Linked DNA regions of Macaca fascicularis. The protein of the gene in region 1 interacts with the protein of each later gene in a biochemical or structural test. Links are inferred from orthologs where the notes say so. Each region holds a gene or a part of one and is shown in the gene's direction. Other genes may lie near its edges. The genes, in order: MAPT, PRKACA, S100B, PTPA, CASP3, PPP2CB and HTRA1.

Region 1 (4,230 bases):
GCTATGACTGTGCCACTGCACTCCAGCCTGAGCAAGACCTTGTCTCCAAAAAAAGGTCAATTCCATTGACTTTTCTAAGGTGTACACCATCAAGGGGCAGTTCCATCCCCAGGCCATTGGCTCATGAGACATTCTGAAGTCAGAAGGCTAGGGCAGATCGCTTTCAGCAAGCCCCCACGGTGGTTCTCACTCCTACTTCTTTGGATATATGCCCCTCTGTTTAAAAATAAAGTTAATATGGATAAAAAAAAAAAGAAAGAAAGAAAAAGGTCAGTTCCAGAAACTCAGTGTGAATAAAGCATTTTACTTGCTTTTTCTATTAATCTATAACATATGTTGGTTTTTAAAAAATAATGTAAGAACCATGCAAATTGGAGCTTCAAGACAACTTCCCATCTCCCTAGGAGGAGACGGCTGCCCTAAACCCCCATACATAGAAATCCGCCCACTGCCAGGGCTTAAATTTGACGTTGGGGAAATGAAAAATCCAAGCTAAGGCCGAAGCTTGGGGCCTGGGTGACCAGTAGAATGAGGACCACTGGTCAGTTTCAGGCTGAGATGCCTCTTCCAGGGGACAATCTCCAGCTGGCCCTTAAACATTCAGACTTCAAACTCTACTTACAGCATAAAGATGTTTCAAAAGACGTGATACAAATAACTGTGTGTGCAAATGTTCTGCGATGTGTTAAGCACTATTTCAATTTGGTCTAATTTAAGATTTCTTTTCTAGCGTCACGGTTACATACATCATAGATCCAAATACTTTTTTTTAAAGTACAGTTCTACTGTATTGTAACTGAGTTAGCTTGCTTTAAGTGAATTTGTTAAGGAAAGGATTCACCTTGGTCAGTAACAAAAAAGATGGGAAAAAAGCAAGGAGAAAGGAAGCAGCCTGGGGAAAAGCGACCTTAGCCAGGGGGGCGATTTCGGGACTCGGAGGGTCGGGGTGGGCGGACTGGGGAGCTGGCCACGTGGAAGGTCGCTCAGGACCTCTCCAGGAGAGGACACCGCCTCAGGCTGACTGAAAGGAAAGGGGCAGGGGACCCACTGGCGGAGTCACTGGCCTTGCCCCGACCCCGCAGGGCCCGAAGGAAGACACCCACCCCTCCAACGAGACAAAGGCTCCAGCTATGGGAGGCGGAGAGTGCGCGTGCGCCATGGAACGCGCGTGCGCGCTGCGGTCAGCGCCGCGGCCTGAGGCGTAGGGGGAGGGGCACCGGGAAAGGGCAGCGCCGAGAGGAACCAGCCGGGAGGCGCCGGACAGCCGAGCGGCAGGGCGCTCGCGCGCGCCCACTGGTGGCCGGAGGAGAAGGCTCCCGCGGAGGCCGGGCTGCCCGCCCCCTCCCCTGGGGAGGCTCGCGCTCCCGCTGCTCGCGCCTGCGCCGCCTGCCGGCCTCGGGAACGCGCCCTCTTCGCCGGCGCGCGCCCTCGCAGTCACCGCCACCCACCAGCTCCGGCACCAACAGCAGCGCCGCTGCCACCGCCCACCTTCTGCCGCCGCCACCACAGCCACCTTCTCCTCCTCCGCTGTCCTCTCCCGTCCTCGCCTCTGTCGACTATCAGGTAAGCGCCGCGGCTCCGAAATCTGCCTCGCCGTCCGCCCCTGTGCACCCCTGCGCCGCCGCCCCTCGCCCTCAGCCTCCACAGACTGGGGCTTCGTGCGCCGGGCATCGGTCGGGGCGACCGCAGGGCCCCTCCTTGCCTCCCCTGCTCGGGGGCTGGGGCCAGGGCGGCCTGGAAAGGGACGTGAGCAAGGGATGCACGCACGCCTGAGTGCGCGCGTGTGTGTGTGCTGGAGGGTCTTCACCCGCTTCGCGCCGACCCCAGGTGGAGGCCGTGCCGGCAGGGTGGGGCGCGGCGGCGGTGACTTGGGGGAGGGGGCTGCCCTTCACTCTCGACCGCAGTCTTTTGCCGCAATGGGCGTGCGTGGGGGGGAGGGGTCCGATAACGACCCCCGAAACCGAACCTGAAATCCGCTGTCCCTGCCGCTGTTCGCCATCAGCCCTAAGGAAGATGTGGATCGGGTTCTAGAAAAGATGACTGACTCCCTGCACGCCCCTCCCTTTACCTCCCGAGCAGTGATTCCGACAGGGCCTTCACTGCCCCTGATTTTAGGCGGGGGCCGGCCCCCTCCCCTTTTCCTCCTTCAGAAACCCGTAGGGGACATTTGGGGGCTGGGAGGAATCGAGGAGATGGGGAGGGGTCCAGGCGCTGTCACTTTAGTTGCCCTTCCCCCTGCGCACGCCTGGCACAGAGACGCGAGCAGCGCCGTGCCTGAGAACAGTGCGAGGATCCCAGTGTGCACGCTCGCAAAGGCAGGGGTCACCTGGCCTGGCGATGTGGACGGAGTCGGCGGCCGCCGGTCCCCGCTCGCGGGCAGGCACAGCAGCAGCCATGCACTGACGGGCGCGGGGCTGCAGGTGCATCTCGGGGCGGGTTTCTTTCTCAGCGCTCCGCGCGCAGGGTGCCCGGCGTGTGCGCTCCCTGCCGGAGGCGCGGGGCTGGCGCGCAGGGCTCGCCCCTCACTGCGGCAGTGGGTGTGGATCCTGGTGGGCGAGGAGGGGGGAGGATAGGCTGTGCCTCCTCCCACTCCCGAGGTGCCATCTTTTTTCGGCGTGTCACGTCTTTACGGTGCCATGCCAAACCGGGTGGCCGGGCTTCGTAGGACAGGGCGGGGCCTGGCATTAAAGGGAGGGGGACAATCAGCGCTGAAATCTTGGCGTTTTGCTGCTGCGGGCGTGAGCGCTGGGGGCGTTCACCCAGCACCTTCTTCGGGGGCTCTTTGCTTTGTCTGTAGAGGTTACGTGATCTGCGCTCCCAGCCCTGGTTTCTGGCTTTTATTCTGAGGGTGTTTAGCCAACCTCCCCCCACCCCCAAGCACCTCTTTCCTTTTTCGTTCCTCATTTCCGAGCCCATTGTTGGATCTCGAGGCTTGCTGGGGTCGACGAACCCGAGTCAACCCCCCGACCCCCGGCACGCATGGAACGGGCGTGACCGCGCGCAGCCTCGTCTCGGAGTCTGCGGGCGCCAGGAAGCTTCTGAAGGGATGGGATTCGAGTCTCCGTGCTGCGCTGCGGGCGGCGGCAGAGGGATCACGCCCCTCCCAACACCCCGAGTGTCCTGAGGGCCAAGCCACACCAGGTTGCCCAACGAGGGACGCTGGCTACCCATTCGGGGATGGGTGGGGAGCCCCGGTGGGGCCTCTCCAGCTTTACGCCCTGTTGCTTCGCCTGGCGGGAGAATGTGAGGAGGGGGCATAAGGTTACTGGTGCTGCGGCCACACCCATTTTTCTGAGCCCACTGGAGGGGGCACAGAGGGGGAATTGCCATGGGAACCACAGGCGTCCGGAGAGGGGACCTTGGGGCTGGCCCCACCCCTTCCCTGGGGAGATTGGGGACCCTGGGGTAGGCGGGGCCGCGCCCAGTTGGCCTCCTGGAGGACACGGGAGGAAGCCCCCAACCCCTGCACCTGAGACTCTAATTGGCCTCTGGCGGCCGCAGATAGGCAGCCCTTGGGTGTATTTTTATTAATATTATGTCTGTACTGATTAATATTATTTATCGTAAATGCGGGATTTCACCCGTATCCAAGTTCACCGTACCCCCAAAACCGAGTCTGGGGCTGCAAGGAGAACTCCTGGCCAAGGCATCCGAGCCTCGCCCTCCTGTGATGAACCTGGTACGCGCCGTTTTCTGGTTAATTCTATCGCTGAAAACTGGTGCGGGGGGGCGCACTTCTGAGACGAACGAGCATCTAGGAGCTGAATCCTCCACGCGGGCTGCCCAGGTTGATCTGAATTTCCGGGGAATGGCTTGACTGGGGAACTAGAGCCCGCCCGGGACCAGGCTGACCTTCCTCGACGGTGGCGTCGAGGGCTGGAGCCTGAGTGCTGCGAGGCTTCCCGCATGGCTGAGCCACCGCGAGGGGTTGCAGAGCGGCTCAGGGGTCAGTTCAAGCATCTTCTCTCCTCCCTCGCCCCCAGACAGAGCTGGGCGCGGGATTCCGGTTCCAGATGGAGTGAGGGTCTCGGGACGGCCCTGGAAAAGGGGAGCCCACGGTCAAGGCTGCCTATTGCCATCTCGAGCAGAGATGTCACCTGCTGCCGTTGGAGGAAAGGGAGCCCGGTGGGGATGAGCGCATTTAGCCCAATGCTGGGAACAAAGCACAATCCGCGCTTCTGCGATTTCGCTCCATTTTGAAATGTGTTGGCGCTTTGGTTGGGCCACTGC
Region 2 (3,500 bases), on another chromosome or scaffold:
CTTAAAAATTTGTCTTATTAACTTATAAGTTTACATATGTACTTTTATTTTATTTTTTGAGACGGAGTTTCAGTCTTGTCACCCAGACTGGAGTGCAGTGGCGTGATCTCGGCTCCGTGCAACCTTCACCTCCTGGATTCAAGTGATTCTTCTGTCTCAGCCTCCCAAGTAGCTGGGATTACAGGCGCACGCCCCCTTGCCTGGCTAATTTTTGTATTTTTAGTAGAGATGGGGTTTCACCATGTTGGCCAGGCTGGTCTCAATCTTCTGACCTTGGGTGATCTGTCCCCCTCGGCCTCTAAAGTGCTGGGATTACAGGCATGAGCCACCATGCTGGCCTTGTAGTTGTATTTTAGATAGAAAACTATAGATTCACTTTACATACAATAAAATGCACAGTTCTTCAATGCTCCATGCCACAAATTTTGACAGTTGTATACAGTTACCTAACCTCCACCTAAAACAGTATATGGAACTTTTCTATCACCCCAGAAAATTCCCTTGAATCCCTTTCTTCTTCTTTTTTTTTTTTTTTTTTTTCAATAATATACAGAGGTGGAGGCCGGGTGCAGTGGCTCACGCCTGTAATCCCAGCACTTTGGGAGGCCAAGGCGGGCGGATCACAAGGTCAGCAGTTCGAGACCAGCCTGACCAACATGGTGAAACCCTGTCTCTACTAAAAATATAAAAATTAGCCAGGTGTGGTGGTGCATGCCTGTAATCCCAGCTACTCAGGAGGCTGAGGCAAGAGAATCACTTGTTTCCAGGAGGCGAAGGTTGCAGTGAGCCAAGATTATGCTACTGCACTCCAGCCTGGGCAACAGAGCAAGACTCCATCTCAAAAAAAATACTGAAAAAAAAAATATATATATATACACACACACACACACATCTCTGCATACACACAGAGGTGAGATCTTGCCTATGTTACCCAGGCTGGTCTCGAACTCCTGGGCTCAAGTGATCCTCCCACCTCGACCCTCCAAAATGCTGGGATTACAGGGATGAGACACCGCGCCGGGCCAAATCCCTTTCTTGACACGTCACCTCCCCGCCAAAGGCAGTTGTCCTTTCTGACTTCAAACACCGTGCCTTTGTTTTGTCTGGGCGTGGACATGATATAAATGGAATCATTCATGTTCTTTTGTGTCTTCTTTTGCTTTAACATAATCAGTTTGAAATGCAGCCACGTTGTTGAGTGGATGCATGGGCTGTCCTGTTGGCAGTGGTGGTGGTGAGTGGAATTCCATTATATGACTATAGCTCAGTCTGTGATTCCATTCTCCTGTGGGTGGACCTACAGGCTATTTCCCATGTCGGGCTATCTAAGAATCAGGTGCCTCGCATTTCTGACAGCCGGACTGGAGTTGTCTTCCTCTGGGGAAGGCTCTGCAGGGCCACCTGCTGGACCATTTTGGGGCATGGCCACTGACATTCACCTCTCCATCTGTCCCCATCAGCGAGCCCCATGCCCGTTTCTACGCGGCCCAGATCGTCCTGACCTTCGAGTATCTGCACTCGCTGGATCTCATCTACAGGGACCTGAAGCCGGAGAATCTGCTCATTGACCAGCAGGGATACATTCAGGTGCCCACCAGGCCGGGCGAGGGGCAGCCCTGGGGAAGCCGTGGCCTGGACCCTCCCTTCCTGCCAACTGCCTGTTCTTGTGCCCACAGGTGACAGACTTCGGTTTCGCCAAGCGCGTGAAGGGCCGCACTTGGACCTTGTGCGGCACCCCTGAGTATCTGGCCCCTGAGATTATCCTGAGCAAAGTAGGCGCCTCCCCAGCCCTCCCCTTCCCCTGAGGCCGGCTCTGCTCTCCTGCTCGCCCCCTCCTCACCCTGTGCCCCCCCATCTTGCTCCAGGGCTACAACAAGGCTGTGGACTGGTGGGCCCTGGGGGTTCTTATCTATGAAATGGCTGCTGGCTACCCGCCCTTCTTCGCAGACCAGCCCATCCAGATCTATGAGAAGATCGTCTCTGGGAAGGTGAGGTCCGGCTGCGGGGACACAGCCCTGGAAGAAACAGACCCTCCCCTGCTCACTCATCCTACTCCCTGGGGAGCCCTGCTTGTTGTCAGAATAATCTAGAAGTTCCTTAAGTCAGGCCAGGTGGTGAAGCTGGACGCACCGGCCACACTGAGGCCAACACCTTGAGGCCCCCTCACTGTCCAGCCCCAACCCCGCGGTTCCAGAATCCCAAGAGCTTCCAAAACCCCAAGCCTCACAGAAACTTCTTGGCCGCAGAACACAAACCGCCCTGCCAGGCAACCCTCTTCGTCACTCCTTGTCCCAGTTAGTGTGAGTTTTCGCAAATTCCAAGGCAGAAAAACCAGTGTATTTGGTTCCTGTTCCCAGGTGCTGTCCGCAGCCTCACCAAGGAGTGCTCTCACTTAGCGTTTACAGCCCATGCTTCCTCTCCCAAACCCAGACTTGCCTAACTCTGAGGGTTCGGATGAGGGGTGCTGAAACCACCTCAGCTCACATCTGTGACAGGCGCAAAGTGCCTGCCATCCACCAGGCCCTAGAATCCCCCCATCAGTCACACCCTGAGATGGTGGCACCCTCTGCAGGAGAGGTGAGGAAACAGGCTGGGAAAAGGGATGTGTCTTGGCCAAGATCACACTTTGGTGAGTAGGTAATCATCGTAGGCACTAAGAGCAGGAGAGAGGTTGGGGACCCCACCTGTGCCCTCAGCTCAACCACCTTGCTGGGAAGACCCGACCATCCCCCGACTTGGTCCAGCATCTCCTACACAGGAGCTTTTGGTTGGCCCAGAGTCACGACACTGTGGTGGCAGCATCCTCAGGCTCAGCCTGGGCCCCAGTCCGGACCCCAGTCCCAGCTCTGCCACTGATTGGCTTTGAAACTTTGCATTTGGGTGCAATGGCTCACGCCTGTAATCCCAGCACCTTGGGAAGTGGAGGCTTGAGGCCAGCAGTTCCAGACCAGCCTGGGTAACATAGCCAGACCCCATCTCTTAAAAAAAAAAAAAAAAAAAAGCTAAAAATTAGCTGGGCGTGATGGTGCACCCCTGTATTCCCAGCTCATCAGGAAGCTGAGGCAGGAGGATCACTTGAGCCCAGAAGTTCAAGGCTGCAGTGAGCTGTGACTGTGCCACTGCAAACTAGCCTGGGTCACAGAGCCAGACACAGTCTTTTAAAAAAAATTCAGGCAAGTGGGGTACCCGGCTGGACACATAGCATCACTAAAAGGGAAAGATGAAGGCCTGGCACGATGGCTCATGCCTGTAATCCCAGCACTTCGGGAGGCTGAGGCAGGTGGATCACGAGGTCCGGAGTTCAAGACCAGCCTGGCCAACATAGTGAAACCCCATCTCTACTAAAAATACAAAAATTAGCTGGGCATGGTAGCAGGCACCTGTAATCCCAGCTACTTGGGAGGCTGAGGCCAAAGAATTGCTTCAACCCAGGAGACGGAGGTTGCAGTGAGCCAAGATCACACCATTGCACTCCAGCCTGGGCGACAGAACAAGACTCC
Region 3 (3,948 bases), on another chromosome or scaffold:
GTTCCTCACAGGAGCCTGGGGCAGGCTGACCCACGCAAGACCACAGCTCTCGGCCCTGTGCTATTTCCAGGGCACACTTATAGATCCTGAATGGTAAAGAACTTCCTAGATAAAGCAATGACAGCAAAACAGCCGTGTACGCAGATATCTCGTGGGAAACCCTTTCACGGCCACTTCGAAACTGGGTTGGGAGAAGGACCTGATGCTGGGTCAGGCATCGGTTGGGGACCATGGACACGTTTGTAGAGTTTGGGCCAATGCTTTTGTGTAATTTGTCAGAAGGAACACCTACTTCCTCACTCTTGTGAGGAAGAACCCACAAACTGGCCCCCGTGTTCAGAGGCTCAGGTCAACAAGTTGAGGGGACAGCTGGACTTCTCCTTCTTCAGGCTGGCTGGAGCCTTCAGCAAGGGGTACACCGTCCACACGCCTCTGTAAAACAGCATTCGCACAGGACATCTCTAAGGCATTGTCCAACTCTGACAGTCTGTGACCTTCTACCCTGGGATGGAGGGAAAGGCCTTGGGATACAATCCACACATCATGTTTTCCCCTAAAAGTACCACCCTTTTTAGTCCCTGCAGACACTGGGTTCAGCAGCTTCTCTGAGGCAGCCCCGTTGAGCCCAGGGCCGACCACAGACAAGCACTACCGTCCACAGAACCTCACGCCCGGTGGGGCCAGACGTGGAGGCTGGCAGAGGAGAGAAGCTCCAGGGGCCTCTCCATTAGAAACCAGCTTGCAGGCCACTTAATCTCCTACGCTCAGCCTGTACTTGCAAGCTGCTTGTTCTTGGCTGCACATTTGCTTTGTTTGAATCAATTAATCCAAGTCTCTCTCCTCTCCCTACCCCCAACCTTGCCTTTAGGGGAACATCAATATTCATGTAATAAATAAATCACACAAAAAGCTGACTCCCCACTTCCTGCCCTACAGGCCCTTTTTTCTTCCTCAGCCCATGTGCAATCCTGGCTCCCAGCAAGTCCCCGGGGCTGCTTGGTCAATGCAGCCCTGTGTGCAGGCCTGGCAGCCCTGCCACCCCCGCCCTCGGCCCCCATTGGCTGCCATGGCCTGCAGTGGGCTGCACCAGGGTTCATCCGTCCTCCCTGGGCAGACGGAATAAGAGGCTGCCTCTGCCCACTAGACCTGCCGCCCAGGACCCGCAGCAGACACGAGGCCCGCAGCAAGGAGACCAGGAAGGGGTGAGACAAGGAAGAGGTGAGAAAGAGCCAGGCCAAGAGGATGCTCAGGAAGAAATGGTTGTTTTCGTTTGGGTGGAAGGGAATGGAGGGGTAGAAACTAAATGGTAGCTTAAAAACCCCCTTTAGGACAATTGGCAGCACTTCAGAAGTGTCAATAGGATGATGTGTTTTAATCTCTACATTATTGCTTCTTTGTGGACACCTGACTGCATCAGCCCTAGGCAGCTAGAGGTATTTTTCATAAATCAGAGAAACCTCAGGTCTCGGCCCAGAAGTGATTGCTGACATTTTCCCAGTGGTGCTACAAATACTACCTCTCCTGTAACTACTTGAAGAGTAAAGATTTTGCTTCCCACTGCAGCTGGAAATGATGGAGAACCTAATGCTAGTTTAGTCCATATCCTAAATAAACCCCTTTTCTCCTTGTTACTTTTTCCACCGCCCTGGGTAAGTAACTCTTCAGTTTTCCAGTTTCCCTCAGTTTGAAGTGCCAGGGTGACAACAGCCCCAGGACGCCACTCAGAAATTACGTAACAGTTACAAATAAATTGAGTCAAAGAAATTGGGGTTTTGGTGGGTTTTAACTTTCTTCAGTCTCACAGTTTCTTAGGGAGGTTGAACCCCTAGAGGGATCCTCACACGCTAGGTAACGTGTCTTTCTAAGGAGTTAAAGTTCAAATGTTCTCTTGTTCTCAATATTAAAAGATTAATGTAGGACATTCACAGAATGTGAGAAAGAAACATATTTATTTCCATTTCTCTTAAAAGATAAACTATAAACCATCAACTATTTATTAAGTCAAAGGGAAAAATTTAACAAGAATTTTTTAATTGATTTGTAGCGTGGTTATGAAGAAAACCATATTTTCTAGTGGTTTCTATTAGTGTTCTAATATATGGAATACATGTTTTATGCCTTCCTTTGTAATAATCTCGTTAGTCATAGTTCATAGAAAAACAATTTAACCTCCTTTTCCCCAAATCATCATGGACTTTGAGGAGCATCAGAATGATGTAAAAGTGTCTTGTTTTGTTTTGTTCAAAAAAAATACACACACATATATCAATAATTGAAAACTTGAGTGCAAAGAATAAGAAAAGCATGAAATGTTAAAGATTTTAATCCATCTTAACTGTTCTATTTATGAATTACCAAATTTTTAGGGACTCAAGAGCAAAATAAAGTACACTGATTATTAATAGAATGCCTTTAGCAAAGATCTAGCCAGCACAAAAAAATCTTCAATCCTGTTTCCTTTGGAGCATCAGAAATAAATAAAATTTTTAACATCTAATTCCAAATTATTTTTAAGATGTAAGTCATATATTCAACATGGGAATGATTTTTCAACACTATTTATTAATTTATTTTTAATTATAACAGTGCAAATGTTCTTATTTGATGATTAGAACTCAAGGCCAAAAGCTGGTAAATTTCTCGGCCTGCCCATCTGTTTTGTGAGACAACTGACAAGGCATCCTTTGTAGAAGGCGCCTCATTCCCAGACTGATGAGATATTTCCTTGGTTTGCAGGCTGTGGCGTAAGGTACTTGCTGTGAGGGAGGTCGGAGGGATCTTACTTTGACAGCTGCAGAGAAACACCTATTCCTGCCCCGTCCCAGTCACTGCAGTGAATGAACCAGCCTTTCCCTGCACTGGAGGTAGAATGCAGGCTCAGCAGCTCAGCTTCCTGCCGGATTCTGTCCCTCCCTGCCACAGAACCACACGCATTTAATCAGTTAAACTTAGGATACATTTTTTTTCCTGGTAGATCAAATAACTTTCACTGTTATTCTTCAAAAAGATTGTGGCAATTCTACCATATTTATTTTTCCAGATGAATTTTACAGCTGTTTTTGTCATGTCACACATCCAAAAAAAATTCCATCATTTTTATTAAAAATGATTTAAATTTACATATGAATTTAAAGGAAAAACTTCCTACATTTTATGTTCCTCCGAATCTCTTGGAAGGACCTGCATTTTTCTTCCTAAACTTAGTCTTAGATCACATGCTATTTCTATATGAATAGAATATTTCGCACTGGATTTTCTATTTCTTTATTGATAGAATATAGGAATGCTCTTGATTTTTGTCTTATTTTGCTCCTAGTCACTGTCTCACTTTCAGATTGATTTTAACAGCTTGTAGTCGATGGTTTGCTCACCTGCACTCTACCACCTCATCTTGGAGCCTTACAAGAACAGAGAGGGACCGTGTGGGGAGGAAGCAGAAATTTAACCCGTGAATTCCTTTGCTGCTCTGCGTCTGTATTTTTGCTAAAGATTCCCTGTTGGACCAACCCAACCAGAAGCCAGAGGGCATGGGAATATATCCCTGTGGCCCACAGAGACAGAGAAGGCTCACATCTGTCTAAGAGGCAGGTGGAAGGATTGATAAAGGTACAAATTCCCAGAATGCCCCTCCAGGTCATGCCTGCTGTTCTGAGCTTGAAAAGAGTGCCAGGGCCAGTCCATCCCCCTTGTCTGGGTTGCGGTCTGTATTGATAACCTGTGAAATGTTTTATGATGAGGTATAGATGAGAAGGCATCTTTCCTTTGCGAGCCCCTAGGATGTCTGAGCTGGAGAAAGCCATGGTGGCCCTCATCGACGTTTTCCACCAATATTCTGGAAGGGAGGGAGACAAGCACAAGCTGAAGAAATCCGAACTGAAGGAGCTCATCAACAATGAGCTTTCCCATTTCTTAGAGGTGAGTCTTGCTTTTTACACTTGACACCTTCTC
Region 4 (4,201 bases), on another chromosome or scaffold:
CATGGGGCTGCCACCTGCCAGTTCTGAGGCCTTTCTGAGCAGCCTAGCTTGATGCCTCTGCGTGTTTCTCTGGCCACACACAATTCCCCAGGGACCATCCGATAAACCAAAGGAGCCTGACCAACTAACTGGACAGGGTCGGAGAAGTGGCTCTGGCCTAAGCGTGCGACGGGTGTGTGAGAATAACTGGGAGAGTGAGCGCGGGTCTGGACGCTCCTGGTCTCTCTCCCCCACCGGCCTGTCTCTGGGTCTAAGGGTGGGGGTGCTAACTGAAGCCGGGTGCCCCCTGTCTTTCCCGGGTCGTTGGAATTGAATGCTCCAGGACGTGGGTTCAATCCCACTTCTGACGCTGCGCCCGAATCTCCTGCTCTGCCAAACCTGGGACGCCCGCCTGGCCCCACCCCACCCCACCCCACCCCACCCCATCAGCTGGAGGCCGGGTCGGATAGCGGCCGCAGGACGAGGTCTCCGCTCCCGGGCGCAACCGCACGGCCACCCACGCCGTCCAGGGCCCTCAGTCCCTGGCTCCGCCGCACTCACCACGGTCCTGGCAGCGAAGGCTAACATCTTCGCTGCCCGTCCGCGGACACGCAGTCCGCTCCGCCCCACACACCGGGCAAAGTCCGCGCCGCCGCTGCAGCGGCTGGGGTTGGTGGGTCCTTGCTAGAGCCTTCGGGCCAAGGTCGCCGAGTTACGGCCGCCAGCCGGTAGAGGCGGCCCCGCGCCCACCCTCCGGGCCGGGCAGGCACCGGGGAGGAGGATTCGCGAGGCGGGGCCTGGGCCGGTAGCGGGCCCCGAGCCTGCAACGGAGCCCGGGAGGCTGGCTGCGGGGCGGGGGCGGGGCCTCGATGGGGCGGGGCCTCGATGGGGCGGGGTCTCCTTGGGGAGGGGCAGGAGGGGCGGGGCGTCTCCCGGTAGCGGGTCGCAGTAGGCTGGCTGCGAGCTGGGGGCGGGGCCACGGCGGGTGCTGGGACAGAGGGGCGGGGCCGACGGCGAGTCATTGGTTGGGAGGCCCCGCAAGGCGTTGAGATCTGTGGAGTAGGAAGGAGGAGGTCACCGTCCAGCTGTCTCTCCCCCGCCCCCGCGTGTCTTCTAAGCTGTTGGAGGTAGCGGTGTGCACCTCTCCAACTCCGTCTTGAGCGTAACTCTTAGAGTGGTAGGAAAACACAACCGTGTTGTCCGGAGAATGTCCTCTCATATTCCTTGGATTAGGGTCACTACCACCCACAAAGATGACAGGTGGTACTCGGGGACAGGAGACTGCCCCGGAAAAACATGGCTGTCCACAACCCAAACTTGACGCCCCGCACAATCATGGCAGCCGCGGCGCCCGTCGTTCCGGCAGCCGTTAGCGGGCCTGGCGCTTGGGGGCCGTTGGCGCGCATGCGCCCCGCGCGCCCCGCACTGACATGGCCGTCGCCCGAGTCCGCGCGTCCGCCGCGCGCCGGCCGTTAATGGGCATGCTCCCTGAGCGCCCCGCACCGATATGGCGGCCGTCGTCCCTGGGGTGACTTTAACTGTCGGTTTTCGGTTATAGCCGGCCGGCGCTCACTTGTCTTCAGGAAACCCGGAGCCTTTGGTGGAGCCGGGGAGAGGAAGGGTGGGTGCAAGCGTGAAAGGCGAGAGGGGACTGCAGGCATCCGGGCCGGCTCCTGGCCGGAGCAAGATGGCTGAGGGCGAGCGGCAGCCGCCACCAGGTAAGGCCGGCGGGGCCAGGCCGGGCCGGGGTCGGGTAGGGTGAGGGCGGCGCCAGGTGTGGGAGGCTCAGGAGGGCGAGAGTCAGGACACGGAGGAGCTGGAGGGGCAAAAGCTGAGGGGCCCCGAGGAGAAACTGAGTTGAATGGCCTTAGGGGAGAGGTGGGTGATGGGGCACCGCTGGGAGGGAAGCAGGGGCTGCAAAGGGGTGGTGATTGGGGCGCAGCTCTGGGTTTTGTGGGAGTCTGGGCTACCCGAATGCCGGGTGGGCAGCACCGTGGTCATAAGGGGGGCCTTTTGCCTCTTTGGGCAGCGCGTGCCTAAGTCAGCCGTGAACCTGGTGGGGAAGTTGCCAGGGAAGGGGGCGAAAGTGATTCCGGAGGCTGCCGTGTTTATTAGTCGCTGCTCAGGGGATGGGGTGGTGCTCAGTGGGCCGCGCCTGCCTCGCCCCCAGTTTCAGCTTCCGCGCCCTGCTCACCCCTCATCCTCCTCCTCTCTGGTTTCCGTGACTGAGAATTTATTGAGGGAAACTGCCCGTGGTGTCTAAACCCCTAATTTTAAAAGGCTGGTTGTGCAAGGAGGTTAGTCTCTCTCTGGCATCCCCTTCGGTAACTCTTATTTACACTGTAGCCTCTTTTTAGTTCATCTCAAATAACTGGGATGGAGGTGCTACGGAAGGATCTTCTTAGAGACCCCTTTCATGGAGAAGGAGGAGGCTGGACTGGCCATAGATAACTTTTACATTCCCGACAGAGAGGCAAGTAGGTTGGCCCACCAAACACAGCTAATGTTTTGAAATCATTTGATATTCCTGCTATCCTGTCTCCAATTTTGTGGTCCCTGGGAAGATCTCAGGAGGGAGAAATGTTGAAAATCAAAAAAGGCATCCTCTCCATGCCCCACAAAAGAGATGAACAAAGAGCTGGGTTCTGTTTCTTAGGACATTCGAAACCAGACATTTTGTACAAAACCTCTGTGTGTGTGCCCTTAGAACAGGGGTGTCCAGTCTTTTGTCTTATCTAAGCCACATTGGAAGAAGAATTGTCTTGGGCCACACATAAAATACACTAACAGTAACTAACAAGAGCTGATGAGCTAAAAAAAAGTCACAAAAAGAAAAAAGTCTCATACTGGTTTTGTGGTTTTTTTCTTTTTTTTTTTTTGAGGCAGCGTCTCACTCTGTCCTCCAAGCTGGAGTGCAGTGGTGTGAACGCCTCCCGGGTTCAAGCGATTCTCCTGCCTCAGCCTCCTGAGTAGCTGGGACTACAAGCGTGCCACCATGCCCAGCTAATTTTTGTATTTTTATTAGAGACGGGATTTCACCATATTGGCCAGGCTGGTCTCGAACTCCTGACCTCGTGATCCACCTGCCTTGGCCTTCCAAAGTGCTGGGATTACAGGCATGAGCCACCGCGCCTAGCCGGTCTCGATCTCTTGACCTCGTGATCCGCCTGCCTTGGCCTTCCAAAGTGCTGGTGTTACAGGTGTGAACCACCACACCTGGTCTATGTTTTAAGAAAGTTTACAAATTTGTGTCCGGCTACATTCAAAGCTGCCCTGGGCTGCGGGTTGGACAAGCTTGCCTTGGAAGTTCTGGTAATGACTCTGGGCCGGGTGGCTCACACCTGTAATCCCAGCCCTTTGGGAGGCTGAGGCGGGCGGATCACTTGACGTCAGGAGTTTGAGACCAGCCATGGCCAACATGGCAAAACCCTGTCTCTACTCAAAACACAAAAATTAGCCGGGTGTGGTGGCATATGCCTGTGATCCCACCTACTTGGGAGGCTGAGGCAGGAGAATCACTTGAACCCAGGAGGCGGAGGTTGCAGTGAGCTGAGATTGCGCCACTGCACTCCAGCCACTGCACCCCAGCCTGGGCGACAGAGCAAGACTCCATCTCCCAAAAAAAAAGTTCTGGTAATGATATCAGGAGAGAGGAGATATAAGGCAACCACTGTTATCAGTGAGATGAATGTGTCCCTTAGGATGAATGGGGGTGGAGAGTGGGAGGAGAGAGAACCTGTGTCCTGAAAGAGAGGAAGGCTCAGGGAGGTTATCCATGGCTGAAAAGAGCCAGGTCCCTGAACATGGTCCTTTTTTGAAATTTGAAACAACTTTTGGGAACAGCTGGAAAGAACTTCTTCTTTTTTGTTTTGTTTTTTTTGGACACAGAGTTTCGCTTTGTCACCTAGGCCGGGGTGCAGTGGTGCAATCTCAGCTCACTGCAACCTCCGCCTCCTGAGTTCATGCGATTCTCGTGCCTCAGCCTCCCGAGTTGCCGAGGCGTCCACCACCATGCCGGGCTAATTTTTTGAATTTTTAATAGAGATGAGATTTCGCCAAGTTGGCCAAGCTGGTCTCAAACTCCTGGCCTCAAGTGATCCGCTGCCTCGGCCACTCAGAGTGCTGGGATTACAGCCGTGAGCCACCGCGCCCGACCAAGAAAGTTCCTCTTAACTCAGTGTAATGATGAAAACTTTGGATTTTGGAGTCACACATATCTGGC
Region 5 (4,191 bases), on another chromosome or scaffold:
GATACATAAAACTAAGTATATTTCTGTGCAGAATATAGTCCCTATAGTCGAATAGGCGCAAGCGTTAGAAATAGGCTCTGCCATGGGGTCCCTGATCTGACTTCTGAATGTCAAGAACCTTTTGAAATCTGATGCAGAATGTCGTGCTCACGTGTTGGAGAATTCTTCTGCGAAAACGATTCACAGTTTGCTTCAGGGTCTAAAATGAGTTCATGACCCAAAATAGGAAGGGGATCAGTACGGCAGTGTATAGCACACCCTTCACGTAACTATTAATAACTCCATCTTAGGAAAAGACCCCATTTTATATTTCATAGGGCATTTGCCAACAAGGATACTATACTTTAATAAACAAGTAAAAAACTAGTCCGCATCCACTCAGGTAAGGACACAAACAAGCGCCCTCTTCCACTGTCAGTTCTCACCCGGACTCTGCCTTCGGCAGCTCCAAACAGTCTTAATTGACGCTGTCTCTGCAGAAGGACCTCTCGGGCCCAAACCAGGCTTCTTCTTCTCTTCTTCACTTCCTCTGGATTGGTTGTTCATCTCTTTGTCCTCTCTCTTTTTTTCCTCGGGATGTTAAATGCTACTTTGTTTGCTGTGGGATGCTTAACATGTAACGTTTATATATGGATTAAGTACACTACTGCGTACGGTTTGTAGTACTGACTGATGCGCGGAGTGGCTTGAGCCCGTGTGTCCAGCATGCGTGGACCTGCTTATTACTAGCCCGGCACCCTGGCGACAGGAGGCTAAGGCTTTTGATTTAGGGAGAGGGACCTGGGGGTAACCCCAAGAAAGGCCTCAGGTCACCGGAGGGGGGACGGAAATTACCGGAGGGCGTCCCGGCCCGCTCCTCTTCTTCTCAGAGCTCACACTGGGCAGCAGGCCTGGCCTTGTCTCCCTTCTAGGTCCCCGTTGGGCCTGGCGCGGTTTCCAACTCTTCCTCAAATTACCTCCAGAATCCCGCGCTGGGAGCGGAAGCCCGCGGACTCTCAGGAAGACCCAGCTTTCAAATCCGGGGCGGGGGAGCGGGGCCGGGCCTCGGGGGCGGGCCTCGGGGGCGGGCCTCGGGGGCGGGCCTCGGGGGCGGGGCCTCGGGGGGCGGGGACCCGGGCGCGGGCGCGGGCGCGGGCGCGGGCGCGGGCGCGGGCGCGGGCGCGGGCGCGGGCGCGGGCGCGGGCGCGGGCGCGGGCGCGGGCGCGGGCGCGGGCGCGGGCGCGGGCTGCAGCGGGCTGGCGGCTCCTGGGGCCCAGCCCGGCCCTGGGTTCTCGGGCGGGCGGGAGCTGGGGGACGGGCCCCAGGGAGGGGGCGCGCGGGGCCGACAGGGGCGGGCCGGGGGCGGGGCTAGCGCTGGAGCACGTCCCCAGGCGGCGGGCTGCTGAAGCGGTGCAGACGCGGATCGTAACGGGTGGCTGCTGCTGTGAGGCGGTTGTGGAAGGTGTGAGAAGGCTGTGCGGTGAGTGCCGCGCTCGCTCCGGGCGGTCAGCCCTGTCCCCGCTCCCTGCGTCCTCCCAGGCCCAGCGCCCGCCCGGGGACCTGGGCGGCGGAGCCTTTGTTTTGCCACCTCACCCGGGGCGGCAGCGAGCAGTGAAGCCCGGGGCCGGGGCCGGGGCAGCCAGGCAGCGGGTTAAGGCTTTTGATTTAGGGAGAGGGACCTGGGAGTAACCTAAGGAAAGGCCTCAGGTCATCGGAAGGGAGACCTGACCCGGGGGCGGGAGGCTTGCCTGGGGCCGGGGAGGCCAGGCAGCGGGAGGCCGGCCCGGGGGAACCGAGGCCGGGGCCGGGAGGTCGGGCACGGGGCACCGAACTCCGAGGGCCAGAGACCTGGCGGCCGGGCCTGGGGCCAGGAGGCCGGGCCAGGCAGCGGGAGGCAGCGGCAAGCTGGAAAGCAGACGGTGCTACCGCCGGCGGAGGAGTGGCCCCGGGAAGCGGTGCGGCGAGGGCTGGGGCGGCCGGGTGCTGACTGTGAGGGACTCGCCCTCGGGGCTGATCCTTCCAATTTTGGGCGAGGCTTCCGTCTCTGCTGCCTTCCATGCCTGGGGCCTGGACTATCCCGGGTTGACTGTGTGGTTTAGCTCTTCCAGAGAGCTAGTTGCAGGGTTTAAAATCCAATTCCTTTTCGGCCCTGCAGAGTTTCGTGAGTGCTCACAGCTCATCCCTGTGGCTGTGTCTCCGTGGCCACAGCTGATTGGCGTCGCCTTGAAATCCCAGGCCGTGAGGAGTGAGCGAGCCCTGCTCGCGCTCGGCGCTGTTGTTTTCAGTGGGTGTGCTCTGCACCTGCGTCTTTCCCCCATTCTCAGTAAGTGGCACCCAAGCAGGAAACCGGAAAACATCCTTCTCGCCCCCCTCTCGCCCACCTACTTCTTTTCCCGCTTAGTCACCAAGCCTTGTCGACCTTGTAAACGTCTGCCAGGTCTGTCCACGTCTCTCCATCTCCACAGCAGCCTCTTCCCTGGTCTCTCCACCTCCAGACCCGCCTGCTCCTTTGTAGTCCACTTTTCACAGCACAGAGGGATCTTTATGAAATGAAAGTCTAGAAAGCGCGTCCTTTGCCCTTAGGTTAAACCCAGCACTTAATACGGCTGACAAACCCCAGTACGTGTTGGGTCCTGAGTGCCCCCACCCCTCCCTATCTTTAGCACCGATTCACTTTCTGCACAGCAATGCTGACCTTCATAGCTAGTGTCTGCCACACCTCTGCATTCCCCTTCTCCCGCCATCACATTTGATTAGAAGTAAGAGCTGCTACTTAAACTTCTGTTTTCATTAAAACAGTTCAAGGTTCAATCTTCCTCTACTGTGTTCTTTCTGCAGCCAGCGTTCCCTAAGAGAGATGTGTCATATCCTCTGCAGTTGCTTGTTTACTGTCTTCCCTGCTAGATTTGCAAGCAAACTCCAGGAGGGATGGACTTGGTTTATCTTGGTGTCCTTAGAGTCTTTCACCAAATGCGGGCCCTGGCACAACGCAGTGAATGCCCATCCGTTGTGTTTTTACTTTTATGCCCTATCTAGAAAAAGTAGACCTGGTTTAGGATTATTTAGCAAATAATAGTTAGAAAAGAAATGGTAGAGGTGACATGGAGTCACTGAAACCATGTAAACCTGCAAGATAGCAGAAAGAGGGCCAGGAAAGGTGGTTAGACTAGACTGTATCAAAATGGGCTCAGCCACTGTGAGTGTGCGTGCTGTGGTTACATCATCTCTAAAAGTGAAATGTAAAGCTTAAATCATCTCTATCACAGCCCGATGCTTGGGCTTTGGTTTTGCTTTGCCTTTTTGTAAAAGAAGGTTTTTGAAAGTGAAAATATATTTTAGTGAATGCACGAACAGTTTATTGGAGTATGGCAATAAAACCTGTTCAGAGTAAGAGACATTAGACATTGTACCTAGTTAAATCAGGTTTGCTTTTGCTATCCTGAATAAAGGCCTTGACTCTTGCCTTTTGAAGAGACTGGCATCTGATATAGGCAGTTATAATGCTTCTTCACTGTTTTGCTTTCAGACCTCATTTAACACAATCTCCTACTGCTTCATCCCCCTACAAAGCAGTCTTTATTTTCATGAATGATATATTACATTGCTTCTGGTGCCTACTATTAGATGTTTAAGCTCTGCCCCAAAGATAGGAAGCACTGGTATTTGGGCCTAAAAAAAGATGTGAGAATTCTTAGATTTATATAATGTTCTTTCTCTGCATGTTTTGTTCTTACCGTCACATGTTGCCTGTAGGGCTTCTTTGCATTACAATAATGCAATCAAGTTACCTGATATGTATTGGACACCGTCTGGCATCTGCTTTGTTGAGCCACTTTTGAATGCCAGTGAGCATCGGTATAAGCCCTGCATAGAGATAGGGTTTGTCTCGTCCACTGCTTGATACACTCAGGGTCTAGTATAGTACTCTGCACACAGTTGGTGTTCAGTAAATTGTTATGGTGCAAATATCAAATGAATAGATGCTACTGAATCTGACTTTTGGCAGTTTCAGTCTTCCAGACAGTAGGGTTTCTTCAAGCGGTTTTAAACCTGAATCTGATTCTGCAAAGTAGTCATTCTTGGTGGGAGTGGTGAGCCTTTAATGTTATCTGTAATTTTTATAAAAAAGCATTCAAGATCCTCCATTTTACACTTATATAAATCATTTAGATCTGTGAAGGCTTTCCCGTTTTCTCCTTTTGTCCCTCCAAA
Region 6 (3,500 bases), on another chromosome or scaffold:
CATGGTCAATTTCATGATCTTATGGAACTCTTTAGAATTGGTGGAAAATCACCAGATACAAACTACTTATTCATGGGTGACTATGTAGACAGAGGATATTATTCAGTGGAGACTGTGACTCTTCTTGTAGCATTAAAGGTATGATTACTGAAATTCAATTTTTTTTTCCAAGACTTAAACCAGGCAAAAAGCTCAGAATGACAGTATTGCATATCATCTGTTTTATGGTCTTTCAGTTTATAGCCCCTTAAAATAATAATTGGTTTTACATCTTTTTAAAGGAGAGATGAAAAGGATAACTTCTGTATATTCCTTGTAAATGTATCATTCTCTTGAATAGCTGAAGTCTTGGAATCATACTTGACTTTATCACTTATCCGTCATATTGACTCAATAAACAAGTCTTTTTAAATCCTTGCTTTGAAAAGTCTGTTCCTGTCTCTTTCTATTTTTACCACACCGTTTATCACTTCACAATTCGATTGTTGCAATAGCTTGGTAACTAATATTTCTGCCTCCAAGATCTGATCCCCCCCCAAATCCACCTGGCATATGCTGGCCAATGAAATCTCTTTTATTTAACAATTTTTTATTGTTACTTCCTGTTGATTGCCTGTTGCCTATAGAAACAAACTCAAACTCCTTGCCTGGCCTTTTATAGTCTAGTCTGAATTTTTGCCTGCCGGCAGTTGGTAGCATGAACTCTGGCTCAAATCAAAGTTTCTTCTTCATCAGTGCTCTGGACTCTGTGTATTTCCATATTCGATTTCCCCCACGAGTTACTCTGTCCCTGATTTCTTACCTTTCTGCCAAGACTCAGCTCAGGTCTCACTTCTTTCATGTAACCTTCAACCATTTTAGCCTTATTCCTTCTACTCTAAATTACTATGAGGAAACTTATTCTCCCAGCCCTTATTTATGCTGCAAAAGTGGCTTACTGCCTTGTATTACTTACTTTACATATCTCCTTACTGAGGTTAGTCCCTCAGCAGCAGAAGCCATATATTACACAGTCATGGGTCACTTAACTACAGGCATACATTCTGAGAAATGTGCCATTAGGTGATTTTGTCATCTTTGGAACTTACACAAACCTAGGTGGTATAGCCTACTGCACACAAAGGCTATGTGGTATAGTCTCTTGCTCCAGCCAACATCATACATGTAATCTGTTGTTAACAAAAACGTTGCCCAGCACATGACTGTACTTGTGTAGACCTGGCATCTGGCTTTCTAGCACCAAACTTACGTTAGACACATAACGGATGCTTAGTAAAATCTGTATGAACTGAAGTAGATTCTTGCAGCTTTTTGCGTAATTTGCAGAATCCAATGCTTTTTCATATTTCTTATCAGACACATTGCTAACTAAATAGTCGCTTATGTTTTTGTTTTGTAATAGAAAGGAAACTATTAATACATTTGAATTCTTGCCCAGTTTTGTCAAGGGCCTGTTTTTGTGTTATTATTGGCAAATCCGATCTTCCTGTGGGAAATAAAAATGGAAAAGGGAAGAAGTTAATCTGTAGAGTAGTTGATCTCAGCTTCAAACCTGTGATTTGCACTACTCACAGTAAGAAGTCATAGTGTTCTAGAAAGATTTAGGAAAGTAATAATAATTTGATGATGAAAAAGATAATAGAAACAAAGTATCAGATACAAGTCTATTATAGTAATATAAGTATTAGTCAAAGGTTCTGATGAGGGTGGTCAAAACATGATGAAAAAGGATGATTATAATAAACATGTCAAATGTTAACCAGTAATACCTGGTTATGAATAAGCAAGATTTTTTATTTCGAAAATGAAATTAACATTTAATATACTGGTGGCCAAAAGCGCCGTGTTTAACAATGGGTCGGAGACTAATGTACTTCACATGACACTAGTAAAAATGGGATTTTACTATGGGTTTTACTCCATTTCTTCCAGGTGCGTTATCCAGAACGCATTACAATATTGAGAGGAAATCACGAAAGCCGACAAATTACCCAAGTATATGGCTTTTATGATGAATGTCTGCGAAAGTATGGGAATGCCAACGTTTGGAAATATTTTACAGATCTCTTTGATTATCTTCCACTTACAGCTTTAGTAGATGGACAGGTATGTATGTGTGTGCTCACATCTTGGGAGGAGGGGAGGTAAATGAAGGCAAAGATTGACTATTGGTAAGCTAGGGTCTAGATTCATATGACCTGTGTTTCTGCATCTCCTTGGCCTTTTCCTCCTTCCCTTATACTTAAAATTTCAAAGCAGGGAAGTGGATAAGTTTCACGTACATTTGGACCAGCAAATTTTCCTGTTCTCAGATATGTATGTAAATCTTTTGACCAAAGAATATGCTGTGCTTTTTAAGATATCGATAAACATTATAAATAAATGCTTAAGACACTGATGTGTAGTACTAGTAAAGCAAGATGTTATTTAAAACTGTCTCTGCGTACACACACAGTTTTTGCTGGTTACCATGAATAACTTCGCATTTCTATTTTCATGGTAATTGCAAATGTTATATTGTGTATTACACCTTCTTCCCTGAGAAGTGAATGCTTGGCTGGGCACAGTGGCTAGTACTTTGGGATGCCAAGGCAAGAGGATCGCTTGAGTTCAGGGGTTCAAGACCAGCCTGGGCAATATAATGAGACCCTGTCTCTACAAAAAAAATTTTAAAATTAGCTAGGCATAGTGGCGCATGCTTGTGGTTCTAGCTACTCAAGAAGCTAGAGGTGAGAGGATCTCTTGAGCCCAGGAAGTTAAGGCTGCAGTGAGCCGTGATCACAGCACTGTGCTCCAGCCTGGGCAGCAGCAAAACTCCATCTCAAAGAACAAAAAAAGAAAATAGAAGCAAATGCTATTTCTGCAGTGCAGACAGATCATGAAACATTCAAAAGTATAAGAAGAAATTATGCAAATTTCCTATTTCAATTTCTAGAGATAATCACTGAAAGCATGAACTGATTTAAATTTAAATATAAAACAAAGGCTGGGCAAGGTGGCTCATACCTATAATCCCAGCACTTTGGGAGGCCGAGGTGGGTAGATCACCTGAGGTTGGGAGTTCAAGACCAGCCTGGCCAAATGGTGAAACCCGTCTCTACTAAAAATACAAAAATTAGCCAGGGATGGTAGTGCATGCCTGTAGTCCCAGCTACTTGAGAGGCTGAGGCAGGAGAATCACTTGAACCTGAGAAAGACAGAGGTGGCAGTGAACCGAGATCGTATCACAGCACTCCAGCTGGGGTGACAAAGTGAGACTCCATCTCAAAAAATAAAATAAATATAAATATAAAACATATAATAAAACTCCATAATTCTTAAATTATAAAAGCCCAGAGTTGTCAAGAATGTGATGAATTCTCTCTTAGACTGCTTGTGGGAATATAATTTCGTTATAACTTTCTCTGTGTAATCCTGACAGTCTTTTTTTCTCAGCTGTGATTTTGGACACTGCCATGATTAATTTGAAAGGACAATACTTTGCCTGGACTTGTTAAAAG
Region 7 (3,500 bases), on another chromosome or scaffold:
AAAGAGATGATTCCAATCTTTAAATAAAGCAGCTCAGAGGTCAGGGGCCAGGACAGAAGGGGGCCCTTTGTTCACAGATGCGCTTTTACTTCCGAGAAAGCAAGCGTGGGAGAGGCAGGTGGTCCTCCAGATGTCCCTGTGCCCCATGGTGTCAAGTTGGGTTACTATGGCCCCTTGTGACCCAGCGTGGTAGGGATGTGGGAGCCAGTGGGTATGAAACTGTGATGGGTCACAAGAGGGCTGGGACGTCTCATAGCTTCTACTTACAGCCTAGAGCCTGGGGAAGGGCTGCCACCTTAGTGGTAAGAGAGGCATGTATGTGAGTGTGTGTGTGTGTGTGTGTGCATTTGTATGTATATATGTGTGACTCTGTGTGTATGTGCACATCTGTGAGTATATGAATTGTGTGGAAGTGTGTATAGGTGTTTATGTGACAGTCTGTGTATGAGTGTGGGTGTATGTGTGTGGGTGTGTTTATGTGTGTACGTGTGTGGGTGTGTATGCATAGTGTGTATGTGTGAGTTTGTGTGTGTGTGCCTGTGCATCTCTGTGTGTATATGCATGTGTGTTAGGGGCAGGCACACAGGCCTGTTGGTAAATGAGACACAAAATACCTACAAAATACAAAATATGAGACAGGAAATACAAGCCACAGTTATTCATTTTTCAACGCAACAGACATAAGATTACCATGTGAAATTGCTCTGAAAGTTTCCAAAAGCTTCCTGTCAATTCGTAGCGAGCAGCTAACAAAAGAGTGCGGGTCCCTGGAGCCTGCTTGTGCAGCATTGAGCTATTCCAAGGGGGAAGAATGGGGTGCATGGCTCTTAGCTGCAGACCAGCCTGGAAGCCCTCCAGCCTGCTTGAGCAGACTTGTTAAGAGGTAGCAGCAGGTGGCAGAGATTAGGAGCTGGAGTAGTAGGCTAAGGGTGCACTTCCAGGGACACACTGCCTCTGCCACCACCCGTGCCACCAAAATGGGAGCCCAGAACCCTGAATCTCTAGCAGCCTGTTTCTGAATCAGTTACCTTGGGTGTGCACCTCTGGTCGACAGAAACTAACTTTTAGCCCTCCTGGGTGAGAGCCTCACATCGGGACATGTGACAGCTTTGTTGAAAGTGGCTTTGGAAACGCCCACCACGTGGGGCCACTCACTGTAGTATAAACGGTCATGCACCACTGAGTGACAGGGATATGTTCTGAGAAATGCATCGTTAGGCGATTTCATCACTGTGGGAATGTTACAGAGTGCGCCTATCAAACCTAGATGCCATAGCCCACCACACACCTAGGCCAGATGGTAGAGCCTGTTGTTTCTAGGCTGCATGCCTGTACAGTAGGTTACTGTACTGAATACTGTAGGCGGTTGTAACAATGGTGAGTATTTGCGTATCCAAACATAGAAAAGGTACAGTAAAAACAATGGCATTATGGTCCACGGTTGGCTGAAATGTTATGTGGTGCATGACTGTAGGTATAAAGCATTATGGTCGTTTGATTTTCCTCTTTTTCTCACCCACAGTCTTAAGGCACCTCTTATGCCTTTTGTCTGGGATGTCCCGGGCAGGGTTGGAACATGTGGTTAAGGCATGGTGGAAACTGCTTTGGGGACGGACGATGGCCTCAGCTTGCCTTGGGGTGTCAGTGGGAAAGATAGGAGCTGCCCCTTTGCCTTCATGTTTCTTCGTAATAATCTCAGATCTACCCATCTGGTGAGCCTCTCCTAGAGAAAAGCCCCGGTGCTCCTTCGCTCCTGCGGTGTTTCTCAGGAGGGTTGCTTCTTTGTAATGGTGGGGACTCAGGGAAGGGACGCAGGCAGAGGGTGATACCACATCACAAAGGGACCCTTGGCTGGGTGCGGTGGCTCATGCCTATAATCCTAGCACTTTGAGAGGCTGAGGCAGGTGGATCACCTGAGGTCAGGAGTTCGAGACCAGCCTGGCCAACATGGTGAAACTCTGTCTCTACTAAAAATACAAAAATTAGTCAGGCATGGTGGTGGGTGCCTGTAATCCCAGCTACTCAGTAGGCTGAGGCAGAAGAATCGCTTGAACCCGGGAGGTGGAGGTTGCAGTGAGCTAAGATTGCACCATTGCGCTCCAGCCTGGGCAACAGAGCGTGACTCCATCTCAAAAAGAAAACAAACAAACAAACAAAAACACAAACAAACAACAACAAAAAATACTTGGGCCATCAGCTTCTTGGAAAGGCTGGTGTGAGGTAGAAGCATTTGCTGGTGCCTCTGCTCGACACCAGAGCAGAGGTGATTTTTTGGTGACTCTGTTGAGAGCAGAGAACCTGAGCAAAGAGGTTATCATGAGTGGATTTTACTGCCTTACTTGGGTGGGCATTCCCTTGGGAGTTCGATGGACATTTGCAGCTGAGCCCAGGCAGGGGAACTGTGCTCACTCCGCCTTCAGAATTCCAAAGGCTGAGCATGCATTTTGGCTTCCTCTAACCCATGTCTTTCTCTAGGTGACCACAGCAGAGTATCATTAAGTATCTATTCTTTGCTTTTGTTCTCAGGGCAGGAAGATCCCAATAGTTTGCGCCATAAATATAACTTTATTGCGGACGTGGTGGAGAAGATCGCCCCTGCCGTGGTTCATATTGAATTGTTTCGCAAGTAAAGAGAGCCTTCCTTTTTCCTATAACCTCTGAAGCTTTCACCGCCACTAGCAAAACATGAGAGCTCTTTTTGAGACACATTAAAGTGTCAAAGTGTCACTGAATATCTTCCTACTTTAAGATAAGTGTGTCTCCCTTCAAACATTTGCCCTATTCGACTCTATGAATCTACAGTCTTAACCCTTCTAAATGTTTAAAGAACCTCGGGCTCTGAAGAGATTCCCTAAGAATATTTTGTAAGTGAAATTGTTTGATGCATGCAAAAAATTGGCAGATTGTTTAGTTTTTAAATGTTAAGCCCAATATATAAAGAAGCGATTGCTAGGTGTGTGTTGCTGTTGCAGAACCCATTCATTAATCAATGTGTTGAAGCGTTCATTTTAAGGTGTTGCAGGCTTAAGTGTGTACTTCTTTGGATTTTAGGCTTCCGTTTTCTAAACGAGAGGTGCCGGTGGCTAGTGGGTCTGGGTTTATTGTGTCGGAAGATGGACTGATCGTGACAAATGCCCACGTGGTGACCAACAAGCACCGGGTCAAAGTTGAGCTGAAGAATGGTGCCACCTATGAAGCCAAAATCAAGGATGTGGATGAGAAAGCAGACATTGCACTGATCAAAATTGACCACCAGGTGAGTATGTTTTCGCCTGCAGAGGTGAGTTCTCAGATGCCCTGGAACACCCTTGGCAAAGGCACCAGAGCTCTCTGATTGCGGGTGATTCTCAGGGGGCACTGAAGCCAGTCTAAACCAGTCACAGGAGGGCCTTGAGGAGATGCTGAGTATGGCCTGGGCGTGTGGGAGAGGCAGGGGCTCAGGAGAGCTTCTGTAAGGAGCCAGATAAAAGTTTTTAAAATAATGTTTTAAATGTTTATCA

The links.
Region 2: of the proteins of MAPT (region 1) and PRKACA, one has a biochemical effect on the other in vitro, tested with the Homo sapiens proteins (9 studies listed by BioGRID). The link is inferred for Macaca fascicularis from reciprocal best matches to the Homo sapiens genes MAPT and PRKACA.
Region 3: the proteins of MAPT (region 1) and S100B form a complex in vitro, tested with the Homo sapiens proteins (2 studies listed by BioGRID). The link is inferred for Macaca fascicularis from reciprocal best matches to the Homo sapiens genes MAPT and S100B.
Region 4: of the proteins of MAPT (region 1) and PTPA, one has a biochemical effect on the other in vitro, tested with the Homo sapiens proteins (2 studies listed by BioGRID). The link is inferred for Macaca fascicularis from reciprocal best matches to the Homo sapiens genes MAPT and PTPA.
Region 5: of the proteins of MAPT (region 1) and CASP3, one has a biochemical effect on the other in vitro, tested with the Homo sapiens proteins (3 studies listed by BioGRID). The link is inferred for Macaca fascicularis from reciprocal best matches to the Homo sapiens genes MAPT and CASP3.
Region 6: of the proteins of MAPT (region 1) and PPP2CB, one has a biochemical effect on the other in vitro, tested with the Homo sapiens proteins (2 studies listed by BioGRID). The link is inferred for Macaca fascicularis from reciprocal best matches to the Homo sapiens genes MAPT and PPP2CB.
Region 7: of the proteins of MAPT (region 1) and HTRA1, one has a biochemical effect on the other in vitro, tested with the Homo sapiens proteins (2 studies listed by BioGRID and IntAct, with this or other methods). The link is inferred for Macaca fascicularis from reciprocal best matches to the Homo sapiens genes MAPT and HTRA1.

The regions. Positions count from the first base shown.
Region 1 is NC_088390.1:67,473,578-67,477,807, forward strand, and holds the start of MAPT (microtubule-associated protein tau), read left to right. Parts: upstream 1-1,430; 5' UTR 1,431-1,563; exon of another isoform or gene 1,564-2,004; intron 2,005-2,250; exon of another isoform or gene 2,251-2,506; intron 2,507-3,016; exon of another isoform or gene 3,017-3,141; intron 3,142-4,230. UniProt on the Homo sapiens protein: Promotes microtubule assembly and stability, and might be involved in the establishment and maintenance of neuronal polarity.
Region 2 is NC_088393.1:14,514,773-14,518,272, reverse strand, and holds part of PRKACA (cAMP-dependent protein kinase catalytic subunit alpha), read left to right. Parts: intron 1-1,460; coding exon 1,461-1,587; intron 1,588-1,676; coding exon 1,677-1,772; intron 1,773-1,865; coding exon 1,866-1,988; intron 1,989-3,500.
Region 3 is NC_088377.1:522,227-526,174, forward strand, and holds the start of S100B (protein S100-B), read left to right. Parts: upstream 1-1,148; 5' UTR 1,149-1,218; intron 1,219-3,769; exon of another isoform or gene 3,770-3,776; 5' UTR 3,777-3,777; coding exon 3,778-3,915; intron 3,916-3,948. UniProt on the Homo sapiens protein: Small zinc- and- and calcium-binding protein that is highly expressed in astrocytes and constitutes one of the most abundant soluble proteins in brain.
Region 4 is NC_088389.1:14,830,858-14,835,058, reverse strand, and holds the start of PTPA (serine/threonine-protein phosphatase 2A activator), read left to right. Parts: upstream 1-1,401; 5' UTR 1,402-1,666; coding exon 1,667-1,697; intron 1,698-4,201. UniProt on the Homo sapiens protein: PPIases accelerate the folding of proteins. It catalyzes the cis-trans isomerization of proline imidic peptide bonds in oligopeptides. Acts as a regulatory subunit for serine/threonine-protein phosphatase 2A (PP2A).
Region 5 is NC_088379.1:189,420,444-189,424,634, reverse strand, and holds the start of CASP3 (caspase-3), read left to right. Parts: upstream 1-1,391; 5' UTR 1,392-1,459; intron 1,460-2,134; 5' UTR 2,135-2,302; intron 2,303-4,191. UniProt on the Homo sapiens protein: Thiol protease that acts as a major effector caspase involved in the execution phase of apoptosis. Following cleavage and activation by initiator caspases (CASP8, CASP9 and/or CASP10), mediates execution of apoptosis by catalyzing cleavage of many proteins.
Region 6 is NC_088382.1:34,010,167-34,013,666, reverse strand, and holds part of PPP2CB (serine/threonine-protein phosphatase 2A catalytic subunit beta isoform), read left to right. Parts: coding exon 1-138; intron 139-1,932; coding exon 1,933-2,106; intron 2,107-3,500.
Region 7 is NC_088383.1:131,482,672-131,486,171, forward strand, and holds part of HTRA1 (serine protease HTRA1), read left to right. Parts: intron 1-2,526; coding exon 2,527-2,626; intron 2,627-3,051; coding exon 3,052-3,256; intron 3,257-3,500. UniProt on the Homo sapiens protein: Serine protease with a variety of targets, including extracellular matrix proteins such as fibronectin. HTRA1-generated fibronectin fragments further induce synovial cells to up-regulate MMP1 and MMP3 production.